4 linked regions of the Elephas maximus indicus genome follow. The protein of the gene in region 1 interacts with the protein of each later gene in a biochemical or structural test. Links are inferred from orthologs where the notes say so. Each region holds a gene or a part of one and is shown in the gene's direction. Other genes may lie near its edges.

The links.
Region 2: of the proteins of ABL1 (region 1) and ATR, one has a biochemical effect on the other in vitro, tested with the Homo sapiens proteins (2 studies listed by BioGRID, with this or other methods). The link is inferred for Elephas maximus indicus from reciprocal best matches to the Homo sapiens genes ABL1 and ATR.
Region 3: the proteins of ABL1 (region 1) and XPO1 interact in a test that uses a peptide from one of them, tested with the Homo sapiens proteins (2 studies listed by BioGRID). The link is inferred for Elephas maximus indicus from reciprocal best matches to the Homo sapiens genes ABL1 and XPO1.
Region 4: the proteins of ABL1 (region 1) and CRKL form a complex in vitro, tested with the Homo sapiens proteins (4 studies listed by BioGRID and IntAct, with this or other methods). The link is inferred for Elephas maximus indicus from reciprocal best matches to the Homo sapiens genes ABL1 and CRKL.

What each region holds. Positions count from the first base shown.
Region 1 is NC_064827.1:81,645,869-81,653,678, forward strand, and holds the start of ABL1 (tyrosine-protein kinase ABL1), read left to right. Parts: upstream 1-4,799; 5' UTR 4,800-6,268; coding exon 6,269-6,404; intron 6,405-7,810. Other genes in the region: EXOSC2 (exosome complex component RRP4), read left to right, coding at 1-117. UniProt on the Homo sapiens protein: Non-receptor tyrosine-protein kinase that plays a role in many key processes linked to cell growth and survival such as cytoskeleton remodeling in response to extracellular stimuli, cell motility and adhesion, receptor endocytosis, autophagy, DNA damage response and apoptosis.
Region 2 is NC_064841.1:17,232,743-17,240,704, forward strand, and holds the start of ATR (serine/threonine-protein kinase ATR), read left to right. Parts: upstream 1-4,961; 5' UTR 4,962-5,130; coding exon 5,131-5,189; intron 5,190-7,962. UniProt on the Homo sapiens protein: Serine/threonine protein kinase which activates checkpoint signaling upon genotoxic stresses such as ionizing radiation (IR), ultraviolet light (UV), or DNA replication stalling, thereby acting as a DNA damage sensor.
Region 3 is NC_064844.1:728,501-736,193, forward strand, and holds the start of XPO1 (exportin-1), read left to right. Parts: upstream 1-4,678; 5' UTR 4,679-5,405; intron 5,406-6,039; exon of another isoform or gene 6,040-6,262; intron 6,263-7,693. UniProt on the Homo sapiens protein: Mediates the nuclear export of cellular proteins (cargos) bearing a leucine-rich nuclear export signal (NES) and of RNAs.
Region 4 is NC_064840.1:21,415,791-21,422,828, forward strand, and holds the start of CRKL (crk-like protein), read left to right. Parts: upstream 1-4,019; 5' UTR 4,020-4,550; coding exon 4,551-4,861; intron 4,862-7,038. UniProt on the Homo sapiens protein: May mediate the transduction of intracellular signals.

The sequences.
Region 1 (7,810 bases):
TACTGCTATGAAGCGTCCCTTCCACATCAGGTACTCCGTTCAGGGCTTCCCTCTTCTTCGCCGACCTGTGAGCAGGCATTAGGTGTTCATCCGTCAGCTCCAGTGTTTCCACAGTGACACAAAGTACATCTTCCCAAATACCTTTACCATGTCCATCAGTATGAATTGGTCTGAGGGGCAGCCTTAATGAGCATGTGGTAGATCTTCCCCTAGATACTTGCATTATTCTCAGTGCCTTGTGGGGTAATGGTTAAGCCCTTGGCTGCTAACTGAAAGGTTGATGGTTCAAAGCCACCAACCCCTCTGCTAGAGAAAAGACCTGGTAATCTGCTCTCATGAAGATTACAGCAGTTCTACTCTGTCCTATAGAGTTGCTATGAGTCAAAATCAACTCAATGGCACACAACAAGAAAAGTATCAACCTGAAGATTTAGGGAGATGGACGTTCCAGATGGGATTAGTTTATGACAGCAACCCTTTGGACTTCATCTTGCCCATCCCAAATTTAATGAATGTCAGAATAGTTGTTCTTGTCAGCTATATCCCATAGAATCTTGCTGATGTATTAAGCTAATTCTAGCAGATCATATCTTGAAACACTTAGCCTCTGTAAGGGAAAGGCATACAGAAGGTTTATATTAACTGTGTTTGGTTTCTAAGTTTGGATTGGCTTGGTGATCTGCTTATGGTTGGTTTCTTTTCTGTCAAATGCCTTTTTCCTTTTTTCAGATCAAAGACATCTTAAAGCCAGAGATAATGGAAGAAATTGTGATGGAAACGCGCCAGAGGCTGTTAGAACAGGAAGGATAAGGAGAGGCACCTGCAGGACAGGACTGTCTGTACCTGGCTGAAGCCGTTCTAGAAAGTGAAGAATCAAATTGATGGTCCCCATGTGCAGCCCAGTAAAGAGCTGAGAAACTCATCACTTGATGTGCATCAACAGCTGTGGGCTGCCACCAGCCTACATACCTGCTTCCTCCTTCTAAGAGAGGACTGGGTGGAGAGGTGAACAGTGCCTCTGGCCCTTCTGGTAGGCTGAGTCCCAGCACTAGGGGGTAGTTTCAGGTCTTTGAAAGCGTGCAGAGTTCCAGCGAAATGGACTTCCATCCTGGAATAATGTGGAGGATCCTTTGTCTTCCACTCACCATCATTCAAAGTGCACAATACCCCATGAAATTGCCCCTATAAAACACATGGCATCTCTGACCCCCAAAGTGTCTTTGTCTCTATTTCCAGCTCTAAAGTGCAAGTACAACATTCCAGTTAATCTAGCAGTCAAATGGAATAATAAAGTTAACCAAGCCGTTGTTCGCTTGGTTTGACTCTTATTTCCCATTGAATGTTTTTTCTAGTGATGGCTGAAAATATATCCGCCCCTTAACCTCTGTCCTGCCTTGAGGGGTGAGTCGTAAGAAGCTGAATTATTATCGACAGCAGAGAGAATGAATGTTCTGGATCCATGTACCTTTGGGTGTTGTGACAAACATGAAGAAAACAAAGTAAGAAAAACAGATAGAAAAAGAAAAGCTGTTTTCCTCCTGTCATTGAAGTAATGCATTTACTTTTGAATTAATTTGAGGTTAAAAGATAAAAACAAGGTGTTGATGTTCTCACCGAGGGATTGTTTTTTCTGACGACTGCCTAAAAATGGTGCCCTGATTTAGGTTGTTGGGAAACATTTTTTAAAGGCGCTGTTTTAAAGGGCTGTTTATTTCAAATATGTGGTAAACTACTTTTTTATATTACAAAGGTGGTGTTAACACCATTGATTTGTGTTCTGTGTAATAATTGTAATAACAGGAGGATTTAGTGAATATAAGTTCCTTCTGACAGCTCCTGACTATACTTGGGTTACCTAATAATATTTGGCCTTATGTTAGTTTCAATGGCAGTAACTTTTGAACACTGCACTGCGCTTGAAAAATGTGAAGTACAGATTCGCCCTATCTCATTAAATGGTATTTTTTTCCTCTTATTACTCAATGGGCAACTTCTTATGTCACTTTTTTTCTACCCCACCTTGTATCACTGGTTTTCATGAGTTTGCAGACTCATCAAGATTCTATAGGCTATGCTTTAACTTTAGATTTTCTCATTTGTTGTATTTTTGAGAAAAATTTCCAGGCCTTAAGCCTTTTGTTAGAAGGGAACAGGAGGGTTGGTGTCTGAGTGCCAGTTTTGGTTTTGACTAGGGCCATAGCGAAAGCTCACTGAAAGTTTATCCTTATCACTTGGTCTTTCCCAAGGTGCCAGGCCTATGCTGCTCATTCAGTGTTGAATCGTGATTGCCTATTAAGTGGAAATTAATAGAAGGTTTGAAAGCACCTTTTGGTGATTATTTTTTGTGGCCCACTAGAGGGCACCCTTGTTAAGTATAATTTCAGTAAGTTTAAAAAAGCTGAAAATTTTACACTGGTGCTGAATTTCTTTAGCAACCTAGTGGGTTTGCTTTGCTTTATAAAAGCGAGAACAAAATTAGACTCAACTAAATCATTGTTTATGAAAAGGCTTTGAGCTTAAAGGGATTTAGTCAACATTTGGTAACATTTATTTGCTTTTGACAGATATTTGCTGGGCTCTGGATCCAACTTTCAGTCCTCAAAAGTATCATTCTGTAGTGCTATACAGGAAGTAAAAAAATATAGTGCCTCTCTAGAGAAAAATATTACAGCCTGGGCTTGGGGTTCACCTAAAACTAACAAGCAGTGGAAAATGGACATTAGCGGTAATAAGCCTTTAGGTGAAGTGCAGTTGATCTTTACATTGCCTATCATGAAGCATGGTCTCAGTCTTTTACTGTGGAAAATCAAACAGTATCTAAGATGATCCTCATGATAACCTCATAAAGTAAGCAAATAGGACCCCCACTCATAGGCGAAGAAATAGATGGAGAGAATTAAAGTGATTTAAGCCCATTAGCAATTGTGAATAAGATACATATTTAAGGTTTAGAGAGGTATTATAAAGCCCTTCTTTAGAGTGTGGGTTGAGACTGATACTTGGGTTTGTTACTTACTTTGTGTACTTGCTGTCCCTTCGCTATGAGTCGGAATCGATGCCACTGGGTCTGGTTTTCTCCCATGTATGCTTCATGAGGACAAGTATGTTTTTTCCCCCACTGCTGTATTCCAGCTCCTAGAACAGTGCTTGGCACATCATGTGTGCTCAAGAAATGCTTGTTCAATGAATGGTAAATAAACTGTTCAAGGAACATGTATTGGATCTGATTTGATTGCCCAAATTTAAGCTAAATTAGAGAATGAAGATACATGAAGATGTGGAGGAAACGAGTAAAGCATGAATAGGAATCAAAACAAATTTTCCAAAAACAAAAATGGGGGAGGGGGGAGGGGAATAATCAGGATTATGGGAAAATAAAGGGGACCAAGGGTGTTAAAATTTGAAGAATGACTCAAAAGTTGCTACACTAGACGTCAGTCAGATATTCTGCGACAGCAAAGCTAAGCCAATTAACATCTGAATTTGTACATTAGTTAGAAATCTAGGCACATGTTTTCATAGCTTCACCTCCAAGTGACTCCTTTCCCCCTGAAGGTAATACCTATGCAATCACAGCACCATTTTACGTTCCAGCAAAAATATTTCTAGAATACATAACTCATTTGTTGGGCTAATGTGTCACCTACATATAGCAGGGGAATGTACAACACTTATAATGGGGCTGTGGCTTCCCCCTAATCAGCAACTTCTGAAAAATCTATTGTTTAGTATTGCATCAACAGTTATTTGATAGTGAAAAAATGGGGAGTAATATTCCACGCATTATTGCACTGTAATGAGGATTAAGTGAAAATGCAGTTGATGAAAAGTGCTTAGTAACAGTGCTGGGCGTAGAGTAGGCGCTGTGATAAGTAGATCTCCTTAGAAATGAGTACATCCCGACCACATGCAATGCTTTGAGGAGACAGGGATAGGGAGCCAGGGTGCTTTTCAGTTGCGGAAGATGGGTTATGACAGGTGTGTTTGGTGTGTCTGGGTCACTAATTAGCCCCGCAGCCCTGCGAAACTCAACGATCTGGGCTTTACCTCAGCTAACATGGATATTTTTATGGGTATACGAGTTCATCTGTGAAACGAGGTTGTTCACTCTTAAAGGTTCATTCTAGCTCGAACATCTTTGAACGCGCCTGGCAAAGCCTTGGAGAGGTGCTTAACAACTGCAGTTTGTTAAATGAGTGAGCCTCGTGATACCCGGAGAAAGCAAACAATTGCATTCGTTAGCAATACGTCGGATGCTTTCCAGCTATATTTTTCACTAGCTCTAATATTTATGCTTCTTGGGGAAAAGGTGGAAATTTGGGTGGAAAGGTGAAAAAGGCACCAAATAGTCTTCGTTTCCAGGAGCAAGCCAAATTTTTTCCCCTAAAGAAGCTTAAGGAAGTAATCCAACTCCGGTTCGGGGGATAATCCAATCCGCAGTTTTCCCCTTACTTTGGCTCTTCGCCGGTTTTATTACTTGCGAAGGGGAGACATTGGCCAGCCCTACGCGAGGCCATCTAGTCCACGGTCTCCCAGGAAGGCGGGACCGAAGCTCAGGAGTTGAGAGCAAAGGGCAAGAAGTACCGGGTGCCGGCCAACAAGAGCGGGCTTCGCAGAACCACAACTCCCGGCCTGCCCTGCGGAATACATCGAAAGTGGTTGGTTGGGAGCTCTAGCACCATTGCACCTCTGGCCAATGGGATGGAGGAGAGAGGCCTGACCCCGATTCTCGGGAACCAATGGCAGTACAAAGGAGGCGGGTGCTTCCTTACTACTCACCTTGCCCCTCAGAATAAACCACTTCTAAGAGGTTGTGTTGGTCCAGATTCTCGCAGGCAGCGAGACCAGAGCCGGAAAGTGCGGCGGCGTCCCTCGAAAGCTGGTCCAGGGGCATCCCGGTCTTTGAGAGGCGCGCTCCGGAAGCCCTAGGGGGCGGGGACAGGGGTGGAGCCTGGCCTCGTTGTGAAGCTGCTCGTAATCCATCATGGCGGCCGCGGGGGTCGATGTCTTTCCCTGAGCAGCGCTGGAGCCGGAGCCGGTTCCCGGGTCCTGCAGCTGAGGAGCCCCTCCGTTGTCTACAGCCCCTCCCGGCGGGGGGAGGCTGGGTTCCGCGGCCGAACTCGGGGGATGTGACTGCCTGGTGGCGGCGGCAGCCGTGGCAACGTCCGGGGCCGAGGGAGGGGGTGTCTCGGGCTGAGCCCCCTAGGCTCGGGGCAGCTGAGGCGGCCGGGCCTCCTTAGCCCCTACACCGGCTTCCGACTTCGGGGCCGCGAGGGTACTTAGTCCCATACAGCCCGTCCGGGCTTCTCGGGTACTGGGGGTGGCCTCTGCTCCCCCCCAGACCTGAAACACCCCGTTTACTGAGAGGTGGAGGAGCATCGCCCCGGAGTAAACCGCCGGTGCCCCGACCCGGCAGCTTCCTTACTCCCAAGCCGCCTCTTGCTCCCATTCCCGGTTCCAGGTTTGGCCGTGGAGTTCCCCCCAGATTCAGATTCCCTCTCTGCTGTCAAGTGACCTCTCCTTCCCCCCAGGTTGCTCCTGCAAGCCTCTAATGCCCTGACTTCCAATGTCACCTACGGCCCCCTCGGTCTCAGCCCAGCCAAAAACTTTAATGCAAAGGAAAAGTCTGGACTGGTTTCACAGGCCTTTTAAAAAGCGAACTTAAAAGTTGCTGGCAATGCATTCCTTCTCGACAGAGTGAAGGGCAAGCTCTCGCTGAAATCTGGGTGATCCGTGTCCTTTTCCGGACAGAAGGGTAGAGAAGCGGGAGCAGCAGCCAGTTCGGCAGGAAATTTGTTGGACGATGAAGAAACTAAGATAGGGGGTGGGTGACTTGCACAGGAAAAGTTCTGGAGGAGCATCTAAAGAAGATCAACGTTTCCTTTACATGTGGGAGTTCAAATGACTTTAGTATTGTTGACCCTTTACAACATTCCCTGTGAATATTTTTAAGTTTTTCCTCTTGAAAAGAAAGACGTTGATATTCAGTCAGTAAAGGACACTTAAAGTCAAACTTTTGGGTAACATTACAATTCCATTACTTCAAATTGATTAACCGCAAAAATTATTGGAACTCCTGTTTACAAGAGTCAACCTAAGAACTGTGCTTCACTCTTGTTTTGGAAGGTGTCTTTTTGTGATTGACCTCAATTACTGACTTGTGGAGATGCGGTGAATGTGAAATCCCACATATATACCATTTTCTTTTTAAGCTTACTGACTGTTCTGGAAGACCTTGAACCCTTTTCTGGGTGCCTAGCATTACTTTATGGGGCAGCAGCCTGGAAAAGTTCTTGGGGACCAACGAAGGCCAAGTTTGCCTGCCCTGCACTTTATCAAAGGAGCAGGGAAGAAGGAATCATCGAGGCATGGGGGTCCACACTGCAATGTTTTTGTGGAACATGGTGAGTGCTTTTTAAGGTTCCTGAAGTTGTGTTTTTCCTTATGTCTGCAGCTTAGGTCATCAAGGAACTTTTGGATAGTGTTCGTGCTAGTTCATTCCAGTACTGCTTAAAGCTTCTGTTACTGTAGTCTTAGTTTCTGGTTGAACTTTCTTTGTGTAAGAAAAAGCTATGGTTTTATTCAAAATCTCTTTGAATTGCTTATGCCTTTCCTGATTGTGATTTCAATTCACTGTTGACCTTGGACAAGCCCTACCATGTGGTTCCAGGGCCTCAGTTTTCCTGAGGGTTGGACTTCGGTGGTTTCTTAGGAACCATAGTTTTATGATTCTGCTCTAATCTAGGGCATGGGCTCTTCACCTGAGGTGCATACACATGTCTGGGCTGTCTGTGCTTTTATCTACAGAGAGCTTTTTATCATATTTCAAAGTGGCTTGTGCTCCCCAAAAGCTTAAGAATTGTAAAACCTAGTTGACACTAATATCCTTGACCTTTTCAGTCGTAAGTAGCTCACTTTGGAGCTATGTGGGAAAAATCAAGTGGGGAAGCAGCATTCCTTGTGAACTGAGAATACACAGCGTCTAGTTATTTTGCCTTAGCGGAAGGAATAAACCTTTCCCCATTGAATGAGCGTTCATCCTCCTCCCTCTCTGTTGGGAATGACTTTTTGGGCAAAATAGTTTGTATTTCACGTTTTTGTGAACATAATGCCGACAGTACAAATTATACCATTCGCTTCCAGTAATTCTGTGTGAAATTAAAGCTAAGGGTTGGTTTAAACTGACGTCTGTAACAGAGGCCAGTGCTGTTGCAGCCTGCTGTTTTTGTATTGTGCGTTTTATGTTAAATATCCATTGAGCCCACCAGTCCTGTAAGCAAATATAAGATATGTGCAGGTGACACGTACTTTGAAATTCTGTCACAAATACTTCTTAACAATGGATGATGCAAGTAAACAAAGGCCTCTGCTCAGTGAACTTGTAGTTGACAGGTATTCACCTCATCTAACTAAATTTTTTACAGACGGGTATTCACCTCATCTAACTAAATCTGGGTAGTTGGATTTTACTTTGCCTTGAAACATTAGTTATATTTTAACATTGGTTTTAGATATGCAAATAGGGTAATCCATTACCTTATGGTGCTTCTTAAAGTCAGGATTTAAAAATGGAATTCTTTACTTTTTAATTAATCATGGTCATGCAATCTTAAGTAGTAGAAATTGGTACAGACATTTTGGAGAGCTTTGGCAGAATTTATCAGAATTTAAAATGCACATACCAGTGACCCAGTAATCTCACTTCTAGGAAACTAACCAAGTATAGAATGGCATAGTGCCTAGATGTCCCTGATGCCCTTTCAGGCAATCAAGACGTTAAACTCTTTTTGTATTAATACAATACTAGGAT
Region 2 (7,962 bases), on another chromosome or scaffold:
GAAAGGAGTGATCAATATTCTTTAGATTTAGTTACATGAAAGCCATTGGTGACTTTGACGAAAGGCACTTAATGGGGAAGAGGACAGGGTTGAGAGTACATGGTGGGTTTAGGACTGAGTGGGAGGTGAAGAAATAAAATCAACTGGTATGAAAACTCCCCCAAAAAGTTTGGTGAAATAGAGAAATATGAGGGTAACGGGGGGAAGATGCCTGCTTGGAATGTTGGCCACCTGTGACATCAACTGCTTATCTACTGATATACTGCTAAGGATGTTTGATTTCTCTAAGTGACCTGCTGCCCTCCTTTTATTCTGTCCTGTGCCCTCCTGCTAGGTTAGAGATTAGCTTAGACTGCATTACTCATTAGAGAAAATCTCCCAGTGCCTTTCTGTTGCTTACTGAAATCTGTCCAAGTATTTCTGTCTAACTACTCTAAATGTTTCTTAACATCAGTCAAGAGGGACCACTCATCTCTCAGTGCGCTCTTTAATTTTTGCTCATACTGCTGCCTCTAGTGAGAATATATTCTTCTTCCCCAATCTTTGTCTCTCCAAATCCTACTTATTCTTCAAGCCCCATCTCAGATGTGGTGCCATCTTTTCCTTGAACTCCTTCCTGATCCAGCTCCTCTCTCTAGCTGAGTAGATAGAATCGCTTCCTCTATTTTTCTAGTGCCTGCTGTTTATATCTCTCTTATGGTATCCATCAGGTTTTGCTTTGCTTTTGAGTTCTCGATACATCCTTTCTATACCCACAGAGTACATATCACTTCAGACTGACTTTATCTTCATTTTTGTGTCACAGAAGTACTTAGTACAATACCTTACACAAAATGTACTTTTTAAATTAAATGGATTACTGAGCCTCTGTTACAACACTATTCAGCAATTACCTTCTAGACAGCACTGTAATTTTTGTACTCTTTCTTCACACGATTTAAAAATAATAGCTAATATCTGTTCCTTCTTAGTTGACAATGTTTTTCACATTATCTATCTTAAGCTTTAAAAAAATGTATTTATTTTTTATACATTTTTTGAGATATGCTAACCATACAGATGATAATATACCATCACCCAGATGTAACAAATGTTAAATTTGTCGTGATCACTTCAGACATTCTATTAAGAGAAAACTCTTATTCATTTCTTTCCCTTCTCTCCCTCCCCAGAATTTCCATTACCCTGGAGTTGATGTGGAAACCCTGGTGGCACAGTGGTTAAGTGCTATGGCTGCTAACCAAAAGGTCAGCAGTTCGAATCCACCAGGCGCTCCTTAGAAACTCTATGGGGCAGTTCTACTCTGTCCTATAGGGTCACTATGAGTCAAAACCGACTCAATGGCAGTGGGTTTTTTGGGAGTTGATGTATAAGCTTCCCAACCATGTTTTTGTAGTTTTATCCTATATGTATGCGAACATAACAAAGTATTATTTTGTGGTTTCAAAAGTATACAGAAATTATATAATGCCGTTATGTATTCTTTTAAAATATTTTTAGTGTGGTGAACTATACATATATACATATATCACAAATCATTTCAACCATTTTTATGTGTACAATTCAGTGACATTACATTCCATGTTTCACAACCATCACTACTGTTTCCAATTTTTTTCATCACCCTTAGCAGAAACTCAGTACCCCCTAAGCAATGCCTACCATTTCCCCCTCTCACCCGCCCCTGGTAAGAATTAATAAATTTTGGTCTGTATGCACTTACCTATTTCATATACAAAAAAACCAAACCTTTGCCATCTAGTCAACTCTGATTCATTGTGACCCTATAGGACAAAGCAGAACTGCCCCATATGGTTTCCAAGCAGTGGCTGGTGGATTTGAACTGCCAACCTTTTGGTTAGCAGGCAAGCTCTTAACCACTGCACTGCCAGAACTCTCCTATTTCATGTAAGTGGGATTAAACAATATTTGCTCTTTTGTGTCTGATTTATTTCACTCAGCATAATGTTTACAAGGTTCATCCAGGTTGTTGCACGTTTCAGAATTTCATTTCTCTTTGTGGCTGCATAATATTCAGCTGTACGGATATATTATATTTTATTATCCATTCATCTGTTGATGGACACTTGGGTTGTTAATACCTTTTGGCTATCGTTAATAATGCTGCAATGAACATGAACCCAAACCAAAACAAAACCCAGTGCTGTCGGGTCGATTCCGACTCATAGCAACCCTATAGGACAAAGTAGTACTGCCCCACAGAGTTTCCAAGGAGCGCCTGGCAGATTCGAACTGCTGACCCTTTGGTTAGCAGCTGTAGCACTTAACCACTAAGCCACCAGGGTTTTCATGAACATGAACACTGGCATACAACTATCTGTTTACATTCATGCCTTTAATTCTTTTGTATATATACCAAATTGCTGGGTGTCTTAGTTATGTAAAAAAAAAATTACCGCTATAATAGAATTACCACAAGTGGATGGGTTTAACAAACAGAAATTTCTTTTCTCACAATTTAAGAGGCTTGAAGTCCAAATTTGGGGAGCCAGCTCTAGGGGAGGCTTTCTCTCCCTAAGCTCTGGGGGAAGGTCCTTGTCTCTCCAGCTTGTTTCCTGGTTCCTTGGCGATCTCCACGTGGCTTGCCATCTATCTTCCCCCATATCTGCTTGCTTAACTTGCTCCTTTTAATACCTTGTGAGACACTGACACAAAACACGTGCTACACTAATCCTGCCTCAGTAACGTGACAAAGATAACCCATTCCCAAATGGGATTATAACCACAGGCATAGAGGTTAGGATTTATAACACATATTTTGGGGGGATACAATTCAGCCCATAACACTGGGTCATAAGGTAGTTCTAAGTTTTTTAGGAACCACCATACTGTTTTCCTCAGCAGCTGCAGCATTGTACAATTCCACCAGCAATGGATGAGGGTTTCAATTTCTCCACATTCTCGCCAACACTTGTTGTTTTCCTTTTCTCTAATAATGCCCATTCTAGTGGGGGGTGAAGGGGTATCTCATCGTGGTTTTGATTTTATTTATCTCTCTTATGACTTTGAGCATCTTTTCATGTGCTTGTTGGCCACTTCTTTGGCGAAACGTCAAGTCCTTTGCCCATTTTTTAAGTGGGTTGCCTTTTTGTTGTTGAGTTGTAGAAATTCTTTGTTATGTATCCTTTTGCAATTTGCTTTTTTTCCGCACTCGATATTGCTTTGAGGATTCATCCATTTGGTATGTATCGTACCCTTCATTCATTTAAACTATGAAATGGTATTCCACTATATGACTCTAAAAAAAAAAAAATGACTCTACTACCTCTTAATCTTTACTGCAATCTTTTGCAGTAGATATTAATCCCATTTTATACATGAACAAATCTGAAGTATGGAGAGGTTATGAAACTTTCTGAGATCATGGTTTCTAGAAGATGGAATGAGGACTTGTACAGGGTCACTAATTTGCAATCCCATGTTGTTTTTTCCACTATACCACTCAACAATTAATTCAACAAATACTTAGAGAAGATCAACTACGTGCCAGGCACTGCATTTCAACCTAGAATCTAGCAGTGAACAAAACAGACAAGACATTGCTCTCCAGGAGCTTAAATTCTAAGTGGAGGAGATGATTAATCAAATAGTATGGTTCTAAGTGCTATGAAGGAAAATAAGGTAGGATGAGGGGAACAGAGCGTGTGAGTGTATACGTGTTGGTCTATATAAGGAGGGGCTCTTTGGGGACACCTGGAGGAAGGGGACAAATAGGGACAGGCATTCAAGGTCAAGGCAGAGCACACAGCAAATGAAAAGGCCCTAAATCAGGAGCATGTTTGGTTGTCATTCTAAACTTTGGAGGGTTTTTTTTGATACTGTATCAGCAATTATTTCATATGCAAAATAAAAAACAAAAAAGCAAATGTAAGCACACTGCATGGCTTTACCTGGTTAAATATGTATTTTTGACACGTCAGTAGTCTCTTATAATGGCCATTTTTCAAGTAAACAAATTGGGTTGAGCTAGACTATGTCTAGAGACAAAATCTATTGATTTACTTTAAAAATTAAATCACAGGTAGTAGATGCCCATAAGTGACATAAACATACGGAGTATTGCTGCTGACTTGATGAGGCATACAAAAACAACCCAATCTCATTTTTAAATGTTAAAGACTGGGGGGATCCTCAAGGAAACATAAGAGTGTCTTCCAAGGAGAAAATATTGCTGAAATAGAAAGGATATGGACAGGGGCGGATTATCCAATAGGCAAGGCAAGCATGGTGCTCACCTTGCTTACCAGATCATCTGTAGTGAGCAATTTCACATTCCTTCATCACATCAAAGATCCTGCTTCTAGGTATGGCTGGCATCTCTCTCCCAACCCCACAGCACCTTCTGATACAATCAAACCCTCTTTTCAAATTTACGATCCCTGACACAGACAGATGACCCAGTAAGCAAGATAAGCACGGGCTTACTTGTGCTTACTTCCTATTCTGTAGTGAACAACTTCACAGAAACCCATATGAAATTGTTCATTACAGATTAGTAAGTAAACACAAGTAAGCCCGTGCTTACCCTGCTTATTGGATAATCCTCCCCTGGATAGGGAGGAACCCACCTCTTGCTTGGATTCTCTCAGAAAGGATGCCAAGAGTGTGGTGGTAAAAGGAACAACGAAAACCTGAAGGCAGGTTCGTAGGTCGGGGAGGGAGTCACGCCCTGGGGAGACCTGGCCTCTAGTCTTGGTTCTCAGTCATTCAGTGTTCTCAGTTCTCGCGTTTATGCAGCCAGGGCGTCTGGGCAGTTCCCTGCCAAGCCTCCTTCTCCCCAGATCCCGCGGTCTTGGTTTCTGAGCCTCCCCGGCTGCGAGCAGCAGAGTCTTCCCCTCACAGTCAAGGCTCCGCGCCTCCGGCCCGCGCGGCGCTCGGGAAAGCTGACCGACGCGCCCCGCCTCTCTCCCCGCCCCTTTCGCCCGTCGGCCTCCCCCGGGTCCTGTGCGGAAAGGAAAGTCGGGCCTGGTGAGCGGGACCAGCGGCGGCTTCCGGGAGGAGGTTTGGGCTCCACGGGACTCCGTCGGGCCCCGCATTCCCGCCAGAGGCAGCGGTGCAGACGCCGGGAGTCCGTGTGGATCTCCTTGCCGAGGGCCGCGCCGCCTCAACATGGGCGAACATGGCCTGGAGCTGGCGTCTATGATCCCGGCTCTGCGGGAGCTGGGCAGGTAGGGCCAGGCCGGCTGTCTTCAGTCCCTTCGTCCCCCACCCCTCCCGTCCTCGGTCCCAGCCGGCGGCTCACGTGGGGCTCCCCCGCTCTGCAGCGCGCCGGCTCCGGTCTCCTCAGCACCGGCCCGGGCCCTGTGGAGATGCCCGCTGGCTGAGCTGGGCGCTTCTCCCTCAGAGACCGGGAAAAGACCCGAAGCGTAGCCGGAGGCCTGAGGGAAGCCGGTCCGAGAGGAGGAAGGCGTCTGCCGGCTCCACCTCATCTCTGCCGCGGCCCGGAGCTTGCCCCGACGCGGGGTGAGGGGGGTGCCCTGCTGCAGCCGGAGAGAGGGGTCCCTTCGGGTCACTTCCTGGTCCGTTTTCCACACTCAGTTGCTATCGAGCGTTTTGGAATTCATGGTTACACCGTGTGTGAGAGCAGAGCCCTGTGTGCGCCGTACGGTTTTCCTCCTAGCCGCCTCTGGGTAGACTCAAACCTCTAACGTTTGGGTTAGCAGCCGTTGTTTGCACCGCCCAGGGACTCCTCGTGTTTACCTCCACTTGTCAGCCATACAAGCACATTTAGTCTTTTTCAGTTACATAAATAAGGAGATAAGAGACCTACACCGTTCTTGTCCCGATTGCATCACCCTATTTTTGTGTGTGTGAATTTTTTCCACTTTGCACAAATGTTGCAAAGATACTTTGCATTAACGTTCTGTAAAGTAACGTCTACTTTTGTAAAAAAAAAAAAAAAGTAAAAGTGCTCTTTTTATTAAGTCGAAGTACAGATTTTCTCCTTCAGGCTCATTGTGAAGTTCCTTCTGTTTTTCCCACCTTGCTTTTTTATGTAATGTAGAATTAGCTTCCCTCTTTTCCTCCATGAGATTTATTAATAAAAGTAATAGTATCTTGGATTTATACTTAGTCTGTTTCATCAACAGAGATTATATTACCTTTCATTTTATTTATTTGTAGCCATTTCAAGAGAAAGAGTAGAAAAACTGACCCATATAGAATTGTCTAAAAACGGACACTTCTCACCATCTTTGTTGCTATCACCATAATTTGTTATCTGGAGTATTACAGTAACCTCCCAGCTGGCCTCTCCATTGCTACTTTTGCCCGTGTACAATCTATTTCCCACTCAGCAGCCAAAGTGATTTTTTTTTAACTATAAATCATACTCTAAATTATATAATATTCCTCCCCTGCTCAAAACCTTCCTTTGGCTTTCTAGCACACTTAGAATACAATCCAAACTCCTTACAAGGCCTCTAAGGTCCTGCATAATCTGGCTCCAGCCTGCCTCTAAACTCACTGCTTTCTGTCCCTGCCTTGTTCATTCTGTTCCAGTGGCATTGACCTTGTTTCTCATACACCAAAGTCATTCCTGCCTCCAAGCCTGTTTCTTCTGTCTGAACACTGACTGGCTTTGTTCAGATGTCGTTTCAGAGATGCCTTCTCTGACTTCCCTATTTAAAATTGCTTTGCAATCAAGATATTTTTAGAGATTGATAGTTGCAATTAAAGTGTTAAATGGCCAGTGGGATGGGGATGAAGATCTTGGGTGCAGCAACACAAGCCACTAGAGGACACCTGGATGATGACCTGGGAGAGGAGTGTTTGAGATGGAATAAACTCATTGCCATCAAGTCGATTCCGACTCATAGAAACCCTATAAGACAGAAATGCCCTGTGGGGTTTCCAGGGAGCAGCTGGTAGGTTTGAACTGTGGACCTTTTGGTTAGAACCCTTAGCTCTTAACCACTCTGCCACCAGGCTCCTCCCCCTTGTATCAGAAAAAAAAAAAATCTGGGTGGGAAGGAGCCTAGGTTTTAAGGAATGGAAAGAAGGCTGGAACATACTGAATGAAGAGGGGAGTGGTATAAGATGAAGATCGAAGGACAGGCAGGGGCCAGATTATTTAGTGCCTTACAGACTAAAGAGTTAGATTTTATTGTAAGTGCAGTAGGAAGCCTTTGAAGCTTTTTAAGCAGAGACATAACAATTGAATTTACCTTTTAAAAATGTGTTTTATCTTCTCTCCCCTTCCTAAAACCCTTCGATGTCTCATCGCCCCCTGTGCAAAATCCAAACTCCTTAGCTGGTCCTCTGAGCTTTGACCCCATTTTACCTTCTAAGCTTCATCCTCAGTTACGTCCTTTCCCTTCCTAGAGCCCTGGTGGTGCAATGGTTAAGCACTTGGCTGCTACCTGAAAGGTTGGCAGTTTGAACTCAGCCAGCGACTCTGCGGGAGAAATACCTGGCAGTCTTCTCCTGTAAAGATTACAGCCTCGGAAGCCCCATGGGGCAGTTCTACTTTGTCATATAGGGTTGCCGTGAGTCGGAATTGACTTAATGACACATGTCAACAACAGAGTTCCTAGAGCAGGCCGTGTTCTTGTTGCTGAGCCTTTGCACATGGCTCTTTCCTCCCCTTGGAGCACCCTCCACTTCTCCTTTGTGTGTTTCAGGGTGATGCAAATGGTTTGTGCTTACCTGCCAACCAAAAGGCGGTTCGAACCCATCCAGTGGTCTGGTGAACTTCTTTAAAGATCACAGCCAAGAAAACCCGATGGAACAGTTCTACTCTGTAACAGATGGGGTTACCATGAGTTGGAATCGATTCCACAGCAATGGGTTTTGTTTTATTTTTCCCTTATTTTACCTGCCTGACCCCTTAAGGACTCAGCTTTGTCTCGCCTCCTCCAGAAAGCCCTGACAGATAGGCCCCTCATCAGGATTGAGTGTCCCTTTTGTGTTCTTTCTTGGCGGTATTTGTACTTAACCATA
Region 3 (7,693 bases), on another chromosome or scaffold:
GTCCTGGTGACAGAGACAGTAACGCACCATTTTCCGTAAACGTTCTCAACTCTGTCAATTGAGCTTAGTAAGAATAAGGCTGTGATATGGAGTACGCCTCCCTGGTCAATTTTTTCTTGAAAAGAGTATCTCTTCCCTCCCACTCCCGGGGCCGCCCCACCCCACTTCAGCATCCTTCACAGTTATCCAAGTTAGACTGGGAATATTTTTGAAATCTAAGGATGTGCTGTGATGTACTGTTTTATGATGTCTTTTTAAAGCAAATAAAACAACAATTTTCTCATTAGATATTTATAAAAAACATTTTGTCCAGTACTTCCCTTTAAGCCTCACTAAGTACAAACACGTCCCCTAGCTTATTGGAAGAAAAAGCCTGAGGAATTGTGAGTTTGAGATCAAGTCATGAATATGCACAGTGAATTAGACGATGCATGGTGTTTGCTCAGTCCAAGTGCTTGTTCTATGGTTTGTGGAAAGAAATGCGTGTTAGAAGGCCACTGCTGTATCTCTGAGAGCAAAGTGGTATTAATTTTCTTAAAAACAACGAAAAGACCAATTCTGTCATTAGAATAACAGATTTAATGTACATATTTATCTTATTTTTTTCCTACATTATATGGGCATTTAATGTTATCATTTGTGGATTCTTTGAGGTGCTCACAGTCAGTAGAGATTGTCTTCAGAACCAAAAGGTCAAATTAAAATGCAAAGATTGCTCATTTGCATCATCAGACTCTATGATGTGACCTTAAAGAGTGTTCTTGTAGGTATGTGTCATAATTTAATCATCTATCATATGGGAGGAAACCCTGGTGGCGCAGTGGTTAGGTGCTATGGCTGCTAACTAAAAGGTCAGCAGTTTGGATCCACCAGGCGGTCCTTGGAAACTCTACAGGGCAGTTCCACTCTGTCCTAAAGGGTCGCTATGAGTCAAAATTGACTCAATGGCAATGAGTTTGGTTTTGAGTTTGTATCATATGGGAATAACAAATACTGATGGCTTTTATAGGAAATAAACATATTGTTCACATATTGACTTAGGTATGTAATTTGCTACAATCTTTTCAGGGGACACCCTGACAGTACCTATCACAATAACAGATACACATACCCTTCAACACAGTAATTCCACTTTTGGGCTTTAACCTAGAGATAAAGTCACATTTAGGCCAAAAGATAAATGTGCAAGGACATTCACTGGAGCATTATCTGCAAGAGGGAAAACCAGGAACAGCCTACTGTCCTCAGTAGGGATACGGCTGAATCATTTATGGTACTGAAATCACGGGGAAGACTAAGGAGCTGTTAACAAGGATGTGGTGGATTTATACATTCTCACCTGTTAAGTAAGAATCAAGCTGCTGAACGATACGTGTGGTATGTCATACATGTTGAACAAAACACAAAAGAAATACGTTCGTAAGTGCATAAAAAAAATCTCGAAGTATACACATCATCCGGGAGATGATGGTTATCTCTAGGCAGAAAGGGGGGGGTTAGTATGTGAAGGAAGACTCCCACTTTTTACTGTAGATATTTCTGTATTGTTTGAATTGTTAAACATGACCAGGTATTTTTTTTTTTTTTAATTTTTAAAATAGTAATGAATAACAAGTGGTGAAAAAGGAATTTGTGGACTTCTCTTATTTCTGATGAATGTTATTTTGTGAAACAATGTTAACTAGTAGAAAGACCAAAAACATGGGTTCTAATATTGACTCAATCACTGTGGGTGGTATGTTTATGGGAATAAAGAGAGAGGAGAGAAACTAAGAGCTACATATACAGTAACCATCTCATATCTCATCAGGCTGTGGTGAGAATTCAGTGAAATATTGTACCAAAAAGTCTTACAGCTTGGTGGACTCCAAGCAGACATTAGAGTTTACTTACATTTTCTTATCCATATTCCACTCCAGGGTTTGAAATCCGTTCAATTCTAGCAAATAAAGGTAATAAGACAGTATTAGACAAATAATATCATACCTCGTGTTCTGATTTTGATCCTGAAAATACCGTGATGAAAGGTAATCATCTGTCCGTCACTCCTTTTTGCAGTTGTTAATGAGATAAATTTATAATGAATACTCCATCTTCTGCAGAGAACTCTCTGGCTAACTCTAAGCAAAATAGACAGGCCAAATATTTATACCTCATTCACTACAATCAGACAGATATGATCCTTTCAGGGGTGTGATTTAAAGATGGGATAAAAAGAGCCAAAGGAGGGGACAGCAGACTATTTTAACTTTACAAAATGCTTTATGGTTTACACTGCTCCTTCAGAAATATTATCCCATTAGATTCTTAACCCCAGTCTTCTGAGGTGGGCCTGGGCCACATCAGCCTCATTAAAAGCGTAAGAAGAAAACTGAGGCCCAAAGAGGTGAAGTTATTTATCCAAGCTCACATTCTGAGCAAAGCCAGGTCTCACTCCTCACTATTTTTATTCCTACTACATGGCTATCCAGAAAGTCAGTACCAGTGGCCTGGGGGGAAAAAATCTTAAAAAAAAAAAAAAAGAGGAGAGCCCTCATTTTCCTGTTAATACAACCTAAGTATCACAAGTGATTAGTGTATAACATCTTGTATGTCATTGCTGTTGTTAGGTGCTGTCACTTCCCACCCATACCAACCCTGTGTACAACAGAAAGAAACACTGCCCGGTCTTGCACCATCCTCACCACGGTTTGCTATGTTTGAGTCAACTGTTGCAGCCACTGTGTCAATCGTCTCGTTAAGGGTCTTCCTTTTTGCTGACCCTCTACTTTACCAAGTATGATGTCCTTCTCCAGAGACTGGTTCCTGCCGGTAACATGTCCAAAGCACTAAGATGAAGTTTTGCCATCTTTGATTCCAAGGAGCACTCTGGCTGTGCTTTTTCCAAGACAGATTTGTTCATTCTTCTGGCACCCCATGGTATATCCAATATTCTCTGCCAACACCATAATTCAAAGACATCAGTTCTTCTTCAGTCTTCCTTATTCATTGTCCAGCTCTCACATGCATATGAGGCACCTGAAAACGCTATGGCTTGGGTCAGGCACACCTTAGTCCTCAAAGTAATACCTTTGCTTTTTAACACTTTAAAGAGGTCGTCTGCCACAGACTTGCACAATATACATCATTTGATTTCTTGACTGCTCCTTCCATGGAAGTTGATTGTGGATCCAAGTAAAATGAAATCCTTTGCAACTTCAGTCTTTTCTCCGTTCAGCATGATGTTGATTATTGGTCCAGTTGTGAGGGTTTTCGTTTTACGTTGAGGTGTAATCCATACTGAAAGCTGTAGTCTTAGACCATATAAATGATATAAAAAAAATTTTTTTTATCATGTATTATACATATTTAATACTATCGTTAAGCAACGAACAAAAATCCTAGGTCTGAAAGTCACCCACTGTCATTTTCGTAAATCTAAGTCTTGGGTTGTTACCGGGCTTCTTTACTGGCTGGGGAGAGTTATTCTTCAGCGGTGCTTCGGTGTCAGCTATCGTCCATCCTGAGAGCTGCTGAAGAAAACTGCGTTGATTTAATAAGCCATTTATCAACCTCTTGTTGGCAGAATGGGCCTAGTAAGTTTTGGTGGGCTGCTGTTTCTTAAGCATAGCAATCGGTAAAGCTGATTTGGAGGGCACTTGGGGACAAACGACAGGCAACCATGTAAATTGTTACAGGCAACCATGTAAAAGAACATATACCTGTGACTTTCACAGAAAATACTATTTGATGATGACGTACGTAAAGGGCAGCTAAGCTGAAAAGAAAACCGAGAGTGGGGGCAGCCCAAGGGCACCAGGTGGGAGGCGGTTGGCGTGCAAGCTTACCCAGCAAAAATACTCGTGGTTAAAGCAATTACAAGGGTTACAGGGTTTAGTTCTTAGGATCACCCAAATGGCAGCCCAGGGAGGCACAAGTAAGATTTTAAAGAGATTCCTGCGCAGGAGCCGCTCGGCCATCTCCTCCCGGGCTCTGATCACGAGGCGCAGGGAGAGCACGCCCCAGCCTCTCCCAGCTACTCTCACCCCCAGACTCAGGCCTCTAAGGCGAACTGGAGGGGCTCGGGGCCACGACAGGTCTTCCCGCTACCACCCCGTCCTCGACTAGGAAACCGCCGGGGGTGCCCTCCCTTTTCGGGGCGCAGCCCCCACCCGAGGCCCCCGCAGCTTGGCGGGAGCAGCCGGGGGCGGGCCAGCGCGCCGGGAAAGCAGAGCGAAGCCGCCGCGCGCCGCGCTCAAACTCGCGCCGCCACCAGCTCCGGAGCGGCGCCCCACCCTCTCCGTCACCAAAGGCGCCCAGCCAATGAGCGAGCCGGAAAGGCTGAGCCTGCGGGCTACGCACGGGGAGGGGGAGCGGCGGGAGGGGGAAGGGAAGTGGGGGCGGGCTGCGCTTGATTGACAGCTCGCTGGAGCCAATCCTCCACGCGGCTTGTCTTGGTTCTCTACTCGGCTCAGCTCTTCGCCCCACCTCCCTCTCCTGCGGCCCCCCCCGCTCCCTTTCGACCCCCCCACTTCCCCTCCCCCACTCTGCGGGCAAATCGCGCTGGAAAGAGGCGGGGGCCGAAGCGGCGGGCTCGTGTGGAGGCTTGAGGCGGGACTGACGGCTGCACCGGCCAATCGGAGCTAGGCTGATGGCGCGGCTGTGGCGGGAGCCGGCCAATGGGCGGGCGGGCTGGGGGCGGAGGCCCAGGTTCCAAACGCTCCGCGGCGCCATGGGCTGAAAACTCAACCGAGATGGAATCTCCCAGTCTGAACCGGTTGAAACCGGTTCCGAGTTTGAGGCACTAGGAGGAGGGGGAGAAGCGGCTGCAGCGGCCGCGGCAGGAGCAGCGGGAGCTACAGCATCAGCAAGAGCCACAGTAGCGACAGCGCGGCGGCCGTGCCTGCTCCGTCCTCGCTGCCGCAGTCCGTGCCGCCGCCCGGAGGGGAGGGGGGCCCCGGTCGCTGAGGAGAAGGGGGGAAAGTTTAGGCGAGCCTCGGCGGGGGCCCGCGCCGGAGCCGCGTGAGGGAGCCGCGCTTCGGCAGGGGGAGTCGGACTGCACCTGGCAGCGGAGCGTCCCCCGCCGTGTGGACTCTGCGCCCTCCTGCCGCCGCCCGGGCTGCGGGGTCCCCGGGGCTGAATCTGTGGGACTCGACCGCTCCCCTCCCCCTCCCGACTCCCCGCGGGCGGGAGCGCCGACTCCACAGACTAATTCCCTTCTTTTTGGGGGGCGGGTGGGTGTGTGTGGGGGGAGGTGTCCCGGAATTGTAAATATTATTGAGCCTTTTTTTCGCCCTTTTCCCCGTTTTTTCGGTTTCCCTTTTTAAGGTGGGAACACTGTGAATCCCACCTCGGCCCCTCTCCCCTCCCGCCTCCCCTGCCCTCGCCCCGACAAGGAAGGAAGCAGCAGTTGGTTCGCTCCCTGGGTAAGTCGGCCGGCGGGGCGGCGGGCGGGCGGCGGCGGGCGGCGGGCCGGGGCCGAGCGGAGCCGCGATGAATGGAGGCGGCGGGGCGGCCGCGTGTGCGGCGGCGGGGAGCCCGGGAGGGGAGCCCGGGAGGGCACGGCCGCCCCGGCCCCGCGGGCTGCGCGAAGTTGGGGGACTGCGGGAGGACCTCCGTAGGCTCTGAGGCGTGGAAGTTTCCAGAAACATGTAGTGCAGCAGCCCTGAAGCGTCCGCCCGCGTCACGTGGCCCTCGGCGGAGGCTCGGGATCGGGAGGGACGGAGGGAGGGGCTGCGAGTCCCGCTTCTCCTGGCGGAAACTCGGCGGCTTTGTGGCTCTGCGGAGCGGCCGAGGGCGGCTTCGGGGCCGGGCCGCGGCGTCCCTCGTGGGGCGCGGCGTCCCTCGTGGGGCCGCAGCCTCGCGCGCCCGCTTCAGGGCCGGCGGGGTACCATGGGGGATGCCCTGCTTCTGCTCCCTTCCAGCAGCCGAGTGTGGGGTGGCGGGAGGGGGGAAGTGGTGTGGGGAGGAGGCCTCAGGCTGGGCCCGGCCCTGCTGCCCTCCCGCCGAGGCCGTGCTGCGGAGGGCCCGGGGGGCCTGAGGCGGGAGGCTGGGGGCCCGGGGGTCCGCAGACCTCAGCGCCGGGCGGGCCCTTTGGGCACCTCGCTCTTCGGCCCCGTGTGGGCTTGTCACTGCCGCCGTGACGGTGTTCGGGGTCTGGGGCGGGAGCTGGCGGCGAGCTGCCCCTGTGGAGCCTGAGGTGGCGGTGGAGGCATTTTGGCAGTCACTCGTGGAGTCACAGCTATGTCGGCTGATCCCTGCGACGTGCCATCTATGCCATCTAGTGAGTGGATCTTAGGGTCGCGGCGCCCCAGGAGAGGAGAGAGCGTCTGGGGTGTCTGTCCTTAGGCTCTTGCTCTTGGCTGGCTGCGGGATCGTGTATCCTGAGAGCGGGGCGCCGCTCTCAGTGGAAGAGTGTTTGGGGAGCCGGTGGACTTGGGGGACGGAGTGCCTGGCATTTCTGTCCTCCGACGGCTCGGGAGTAGGCAGGTCGCTGGGAGGACCCCGCCGGCTGAGGGCGGCAGCTGCCCGCTGTGAACACGGGTCTTCTCAACCTGCTTGTCCGCCCGGGGGCGCGGGGGACTCCTCGGGGACGGGAACCTTGGGAGGAGTCGCTTCATTCCTGTAAAAATACCACAGGTAGAGCTGCATAGAAAAGTAAAAGTTTGGTTTTCAGCCCCCCCCCCCCAAATTAGAAAATTTATCATGTGTAGAGTTTGGTACTTTCTGGGCAGTGCTTTCAGGTCTCGATTTTTAAGATATTTCTGACCTAAAGTGGGGGAAAATTTACGCATTTCTTTGTGTAGTGTTCTGTTTTTTTATGTTACGTGTTGAGTTTTAAGACTTTTTTTGGGTATGACAGGTATTTTGCTGTTTCAGAATTGTGTGTGATACCTGTTATAAAAAAATATGATGTCCCGTCAGTTTTAGTTGTCAATAATGGGCCAGAAGACTTCAGAAGAATAAAAATGTCTTGGAACTCTTAATATCTCGATGTTTACATTATGTCTGACTTAAATGACTTCATATTTTAGACTAATAGTTGTTGTAATTGAAATTGCTGTTATTGTTGTTAAACGTTTTTTGAACTACTGTGAAAGAGCCTTAGAAATCACACCTTTCCCCCTGTCAAACTAGTTTGTCTAAATATAATGCCATCAAATTATCCACTGTCTCCTGATAATGGAAGGTTCCTAAGAGGGGAAGAAGTGGAAGTGGCCATCCGCCCTGGTTGGTTGTAAATACCGTAAACCAGGGGTTCTTAACCTGGAGTTTTATGGATGATTTCGAAGTGTTCTGAATCCTCTAATTTTATACAAAATTGTGAGGTTTTTTTTTTTTTTTAATTGGGCAAGAACTATAGTGTTCTCTGATTCTAAGGCATCTTGACCCAAAAAAGGCTATGGAGTTGAAGGGCATTAAGTTTGAAGAAAGCAAGCTAAGATGTTCTATAACACTGAGCAACCAAAATGTGCCTGAGTTCCAGCATGGTGGAGTAGAATTCTCTTAAAAGGGTAATGTTGCGAATAAACCAGTAGGTTTTAGCCAGTGCGTTTATTAGAGGCCAAGTAATGATGTCTTTGTTACGGTATGGTTTGTTTTCATTTGGAAAATACATAGTTGGTGAACTGAATACCTGGACGTTTTCTCAAATCTCACTTGGCCACAAAGTTTTCTTTTTCCTAAACCATGTATTCAAGGATTTTATATACTT
Region 4 (7,038 bases), on another chromosome or scaffold:
AGAATACTGGCTCTATGTTGGTGAGAATGTGGGGAGACTGGAACCCTTATCCACTGGTGCTGGAAATGTAAAATGGTACAACTGCTGTGGAAAAACTGTATGGCAATTCCTCAAAGATTATAAAAATAGAATTACCATATGACTCAGCAATTTCACTCCTATGTACATACCCTAGGAACCTAAAAGAAATGACATGAACACTGATATTCACTGCAGCATTATTTATAATAGCAAAAAGGTGGAAACAATCCAAGTGTCCATCAACAGATAAATGGATAAACAAAATGTGGTACATACATACAATGGAATACTATCAAGCCTCAAAGAAAATTTAAGTCTTGTCACATGCTACAATATGGATAAACCTTGAAGACATTATGCTGAGTGAAATAAGTCAATCACAAAAGGACAAATATTGTATGATCTCACTTAATGAAATGACAAGAATAAGTAATTACATAGAGAGGAACGATTACTAGTGGTTACCGGAGGCAGGGAGGCAAAGGGGAACTCATGCACTGGGAAGTAGTGAATTTTTGTCTATGGCAATGGGAAAATTGGCATTGACTAAGGGTAGTGGTTACACAACTAGACTAATGTAGCTGTTACCGTTTTAAGCTGTATGCCAGGTTAAAAAATAAAAAAAGGTCAAATGGCAAAAAAGCATTGTACGTAATTTTACAACAGCCAAAAGATTAAAAAAAAAAAAAGCTGCACCTGTTGATACTATAATACTTAGATACAATTAAATACTTCATTGATTAGTTTTTTTGGTTCAAAGTCATGACTTCATGGGTCTATCCAGTCAATTGGTTTAACGTTGTTTTTAGAGTTTTTTTCTACCTCGTTTGATGAGCAGCCCCTGGGGTCTTAAAAGCTTGCACAAAGCCACCCAAGATACAACTGATCTCTATTGTTCTGGACCAGCAGAGGAAGAAAAAGACCCGGGAATCGGTGAAGGAAATAGTCTACAGGCTTAATTGCCTCCATAAACTACTACCTCCATTAACAGAGACCAGAAGAAATGGATGATGCCTGACTACCATTACAAGATGTTTTGATCATCCAACAGATGGATCCTGATCAAGTGGAGGAAAAGCAGGGAACAGAACTTCAAATTCATATGGAAACCAGACTTACTGGATCCATTGAGACTGGAACACCCAAATCTAATGCCCAGAAATAATCTTTAAATCTTGCACTGAAACTATCCCATTAAGTCACTGTTAAACTAACAGCTTAGCCCAATTACTAAAGAATGTTTGCCTTGAGCATTGATTCTTCTAAAGAATTATCTGTGTGAGTTTAAACTGACAACCGTTAATCTAAAGCACAGATGAGAACTTCAAGGGGCAGACAGCCTAAATTAATTATGATGAAATATGGGTAGAGATAGTAAGAATGGTGACAAATGTCATGCAACCAATGTCATTGAAGTGTTCATGTAGAAATTTTAAATGGATGTATTTGGTTGTATACATGGCCGCCAAAAATAAATAAGAATGGCAGCTCTGCCTCTTGCAAATTATGAAACTTGAAGCAAGTCACTTAGCCTCTCTGGGCCTCTGGATCGTCTGTAAATGCGTACTTCATAGGACTTTGGTTGGATTAAGTAATACAATATGAAGTTTTGTGAACTGAAAAGCAAAATTAGGTATCACTATTGAGTTCTTCAGTTAAGTAAAAGAGGACTCCAATTTTAAGCCTGGAAATTAGGAAAACAGTGGTGTTATTGCCATAAAAGGGGAAGTTGAAAGGCAGAGTTCAATCCAAATGAAAGATTAAACACAGAGGGAGATATGGAGCCAAACTATGTATTTTAAATAAATTTATTATGTTAATAACAGAAAACAATCATAGAATCTCCTTATCGTCACTGAAATAAATTTTTGCTTTTCTCTGGCTTCTTTACTTCATCATATATATTAAAAAAAATTATTAAGTATGTATTATGTGTGGGGCACTGTGCTAGGCACTGGGAATATAAAAAATACTGCTATAGTCAGCCTCCAAAATGCTCACAGATTAGGACGGGACTGATACGTGTAAACATTTACAATACAATGTGATAAGAATTGTATTAGGCTGTGATTACTGTGTTTGCATAGTAATCATAGGGTGTGGCCACTTTCTGTTTTACTTTTAGAATATATGTGTTTTGGAGTTATCAACAGGGAGGTGACCCCTAATGCCTTCAGGACGAGTAGTCTATCAAAGGAGGCACTGTAGAGGCAGATTACGGACTGAGCTTCTACACTCAGGAGCTGGAGACAAAAGTGCTATAGAAAGAGACTGAAAAAGTATATTTGGAGAGGTAGGAAGAAAACTATGTTACTGTTCCAGGAGCCAAAAAAAGAAGTCTTTCCAGAAAGACATTTCCAATATAAACACATGTGGCCAGGGAGATCCAGAAGAATAATGGTTTCACTGGAGATCAGTAATCTCCTTGAAGAGCCCAGTTTCGGTCAAAGTACAGGTAGAAACTAGATCAGGAAGGCTGGACAAGGAGTGGGTGATGATGAATGGTAAAATCTGGCAGTGAAAAGTAAACAGAAAATCATATGGAGGTTTTTCTCCCAGCCTTCACTCACCCATTTAGAGATCTGCACATGCTTTTAGCCTATAGAGGGAGAGGCCCAGGCAGAGGCTGAATAATAATAATGGAAAACTCTTACATAATGCTTAACATGTGCCAGACACTATTCTAAGCACTTTACATGTATTAACTTGCATTCCTTCATACTTACTTTTACCTAGGAGGTAAGTGCTATTATTATCCCTATTTTATAGATCAAATTGAGGCACAAAATGATCAAGTAACTTGCCCAAGCTACCCAGCTAGTCAAGTGACTGAGCCAGGATTTGAACCCAAGCATTCAGCTTCAAATTCTGTGCTATTCAAATTGTACCTCAGACTAATACAACATGCAAGCGCATTTGGGGGAAGATGAAAATTTACTTATGCTGAGTCACTGAAGGCATTAGACCTTGACATTCTCCTTACCCTAGGACGGACTCCACTCGTCACCCTACAGTCTAGGATATGTTTAACCTGGGGGTGCAAACAGCCAAGTAAAATTCCATTGGCACAGGGATCTAGGTATGGGCTTGTGCTGCCTGCTTCTCCCACTCTTGCCTGCCCAGTTCCAGGGGTGATGCTACCAATAATCGGGCACCAGGAGCTTGGTGGTCTTTCTCAATTCTGTCAACAAATATCTGAGCATCAACTCTAGGCCAAGGGTGAACAAGACAGCCAAGATATCTGCTCTCTTAAAATACACATGCTAGCGGGGGTGGAAATAGGTTAAGAGGGCACGGCTGGAGCTGGGTAAGAGAAGGGGAACGGTCGGAGATGAAGTCGGAGAAGCAGGCCGAATCCCAAGGCGTTGGCGTTGTACTTGCAGCAGTTCACCGAGTGATGGCCAGACGCCCTCCAGGCTTCCCAGACCACTTGATCCTGTCAATCCAACCTTCACACCCACCTTGGTGCCCGTACGGTAACTCAACTAACACCTCGGGCCTGGGCCACCTTTTCACCTATCTGGTGACATCTCAGTCCCAGGGTCACCTCAGCCGGCCGGCCCACCGCGTTCCTGAGTCACCGCGACCCATCGGGACCTGTCCGCCTGTCGGTCTCCCTCAGTGCGGGGCCCCTCGGGTCCCTCGGCCGGCCAGGTCGCCTCAGCGCCACGCCTCCCCGGCTGAAGATTCGGCCTATTTCTCCGCATAGCTTCCGCACTTTACTCTTTGTTCCCCAGAAGCAGGTTTTCGAAATGCCGCTCCCCCACGGCTCCAGCTGTTTTCCTGCCAGCGAGGAGGGCAGGTCGACCGGGCGACAGCAGCGCCCCCTGCGGCGCTCCGCGGCCCAGGAAGGGAGTGCCCGCCGCCGCCTTCCCCTCCTCCCGGAAGGCGGGAGCGGGCTCGGGAGGTGCACGCCCCGGCTCCGAGCTGCGCTCCTGATTGGCTGCGCCGCGCATTGTCACCGGGAGGGCCCCGGCGGCAGCTGGGAGTCAGAGCGCTGCGCGTGCGCAGACGGAGCGTGCTGAGCGGAGGGGGAGGTGGCCGGCCGCTTCTCCCGCGTCCGCCATTTTGTTGCTGTGGCTCTTGGGAACGGACTGGGCAAAACTGCCCTGGAGGGGCGACGCTCATTGCAGTCCGGTGTTTCGCGTGGCGGCTGGGGTCGGTGCGCAGCTGTGTGGGGGCGGCGGCGGCGCGTTCCAGGCTGGGAGTCACTGGAGGCACTCCCGGTACGCCGGTCTGCCCGAGACCCGCAGGGCGGCCTCCGCTGGGTCTCGCCTTCGCCAGCCCCGTCCCCCGGCTCTGCTCCGCGTTCCCCGGGCCGGCTTTCTCTGTGAGGCGGCCCCGGAGCAGGCGGGCGGCGGCGGAGAATGCTGCGGGCCCGGCGCCGCGAAGCAGGTGCCGGCCCAGCCCTCTGAGTGCGCCCCGAGGTGTGCCGGGAGGCCCTTCCTCGGCTCCGAAGCCATCTGCCAGGCAAAGGCTTCCAGAGCAGCCGCCACCCCGACCGTCCACAGAGCCCCTGGCCCGACACCATGTCCTCCGCCAGGTTCGACTCCTCGGATCGCTCCGCCTGGTACATGGGGCCAGTGTCTCGCCAGGAGGCGCAGACTCGGCTCCAGGGCCAGCGCCACGGTATGTTCCTAGTCCGCGACTCCTCCACCTGCCCCGGGGACTACGTGCTGTCTGTGTCCGAGAACTCGCGGGTCTCCCACTACATCATCAACTCGCTGCCCAACCGCCGCTTTAAGATCGGGGACCAGGAGTTTGACCACTTGCCCGCCCTGCTGGAGTTCTACAAGATCCACTACCTGGACACCACCACCCTCATCGAGCCCGCGCCCAGGTACGATCCCGCCCCGCCCCGCCCCGCCCGCGGACGAGGTGGGAGAATGGACAGGCTGGTTCGCTTGGGGCCGAGGAGTGTGGGGGATGGTGGTTGGAACTCCTGTCCCCCATTCGGAACCAAATTATTTTCCAGAACGTATTCCAAACAGAAGGTCTGTGTGAGGATCTGGGTCACTGTGGATGAGAGCATGCGTTTTAAATATGTTTAACGGTGGTTGCATAGTTAAAAATGTACGCCTTTTGCCTTTTGTCACTTTGTCTATTTGGCAATCACACGAAAACAGGGTTTTGTTTGTTTTTGTTTTTTTAACCTCTTTCTGGACCACAGACTTTTTTGAAAATCTGAAGATAGCCATAGTATCCTCCCCTCTCCCCCAAAATGCACGTACACACGTATGCACACCGTTCGAGGTTCTTGGGCTCCTTGCGGATCTCTGAGCTCCCGGTTAAGAACCCCTGAACTGCAACCTTTGAACGGTTGAGAAATGAATACGCTTTAGCGTTTAGAAACAAAGACCTTAAGCTGAAGTATCAAAATTGTATATTGATAACCCGGCGCTAAGTTTGACATGGGCCAGACATCTTTTATTTTACAGTACTATAAATTACCAAATAAATAAATAAAAGATACTTTGGCCTCAGCGAGGGCCTTTTCTTTTTTGAAAATGTGTTTTCCGTTTTCTTCAAGCTGGACTATTAATAGGTTAGAGATCCATTTGGTTAAGTCCCGAGGTGGAATAAGGCTAGCATGTTTACTAAGGGAGATTTTTGAATGGCACTTGTCTTAATTCTATCCTAGTTCAATTTCAAATGTAATTTCTATTTTAAGTCTAGTGATTTTAATATCTGCTTTTAGGTTAAGAACCCACAGTGACACTGAGCATCAAACATCCTCTTTTCCAAGTAAAATGCATTGTCTTACTTGACCATTTGCTTTAGTTTGCCGTAATAAGTATTTTATCCGGTTTCCTGATACTGTGAAGTTTCTTTTGCTAAAAGAATGCTAAATATGAGTTGAAGAAATTGTGTAAAATTTTTTTAACTAAAAGGTGTTTCACTACCTGATTTGTTTGTTAAATATGTATTTTAAAAGGATAAGGTATTGGAGTAGATTTTTCAGGTTTAGATGTTTCTGACTTTTCATAGGTAGATAACATTTTATTTATAAACTTTAAACACTGAAAGCTATTAAAATAAATTACGGAGCACTAACGGAACCAAATTTTTGGTTCTGTGGGATAGAGACACACAAAACAAAGCCGTGACAGTATAGTGCCTTAAGATTAACTGCTGGACAAAATGGACCAGGAGAATGTGATTAATACTCAAATACTGTTAAACAAAGACCAGGACACCAAGAATCTAACTGGTGGAAACCGGTAAACTTTGAGTACAATGTAATTCTAATATAAGGGGTTAGACAGAATCTTGGAACCCACTGTAATGAGATTGTAATATAAGTAAATTAACTTTCCTAATTTGTGAAGGTGAATGATGTAATTAATTTCAGGCATTTATTCAGCCTTGGTATGTGCAAGGTCTTGTTCGTACATTGAGGTTACGGGTACTATCATGTAGATGTTTCAAAAAATGGGAGCGAATGGGACAATCCCCTTCTAGAGGGAAAAAAGAGTATGCTTCAATGACTCCCACTCCCACAAAATTGAGGCCAGGTTTTCCATAGATGTGTCTTCCCAAATACCAGATGTGTCTTTCTGTCTCCTTTGCTTGCACAGCCCCTCTCATCTTTCCTTTAGCATAGCCCCACTAGTCTGCTCCATTGTCCCCTGGTTGTCATCCCAATTCAAACCTTTATGCCTTTGCCTGGGCTGCTGGATCTTCATTGAATGCCTGCCTCCGCCCCACACTTCCCTATTGAAATCTTACCTGTTGTTCTAGCCCCCTCACAAATAGTGGACCTTTTCCTGACCCTGCAGAGCCAGGCCCTCCCTCTCACAGTTCAGCTTTGTTTCTCTCTGTGCTGCCACTCCCAGCCTGTTGCTGTAATTTAGGTGTTCATTTTCCCTGTTATCTCAGGCAGTCACAATGCACCTTGAATTGGGTCCTGATTAGATTTACTTTGTTACGCTGAATCTTTGAATTCCCTCTCCCAAGCTTGAAGTTTGACATGTTAGATTTGCCATTTGAGAGTTGGTTTGGCATGTTAGTAGCCTC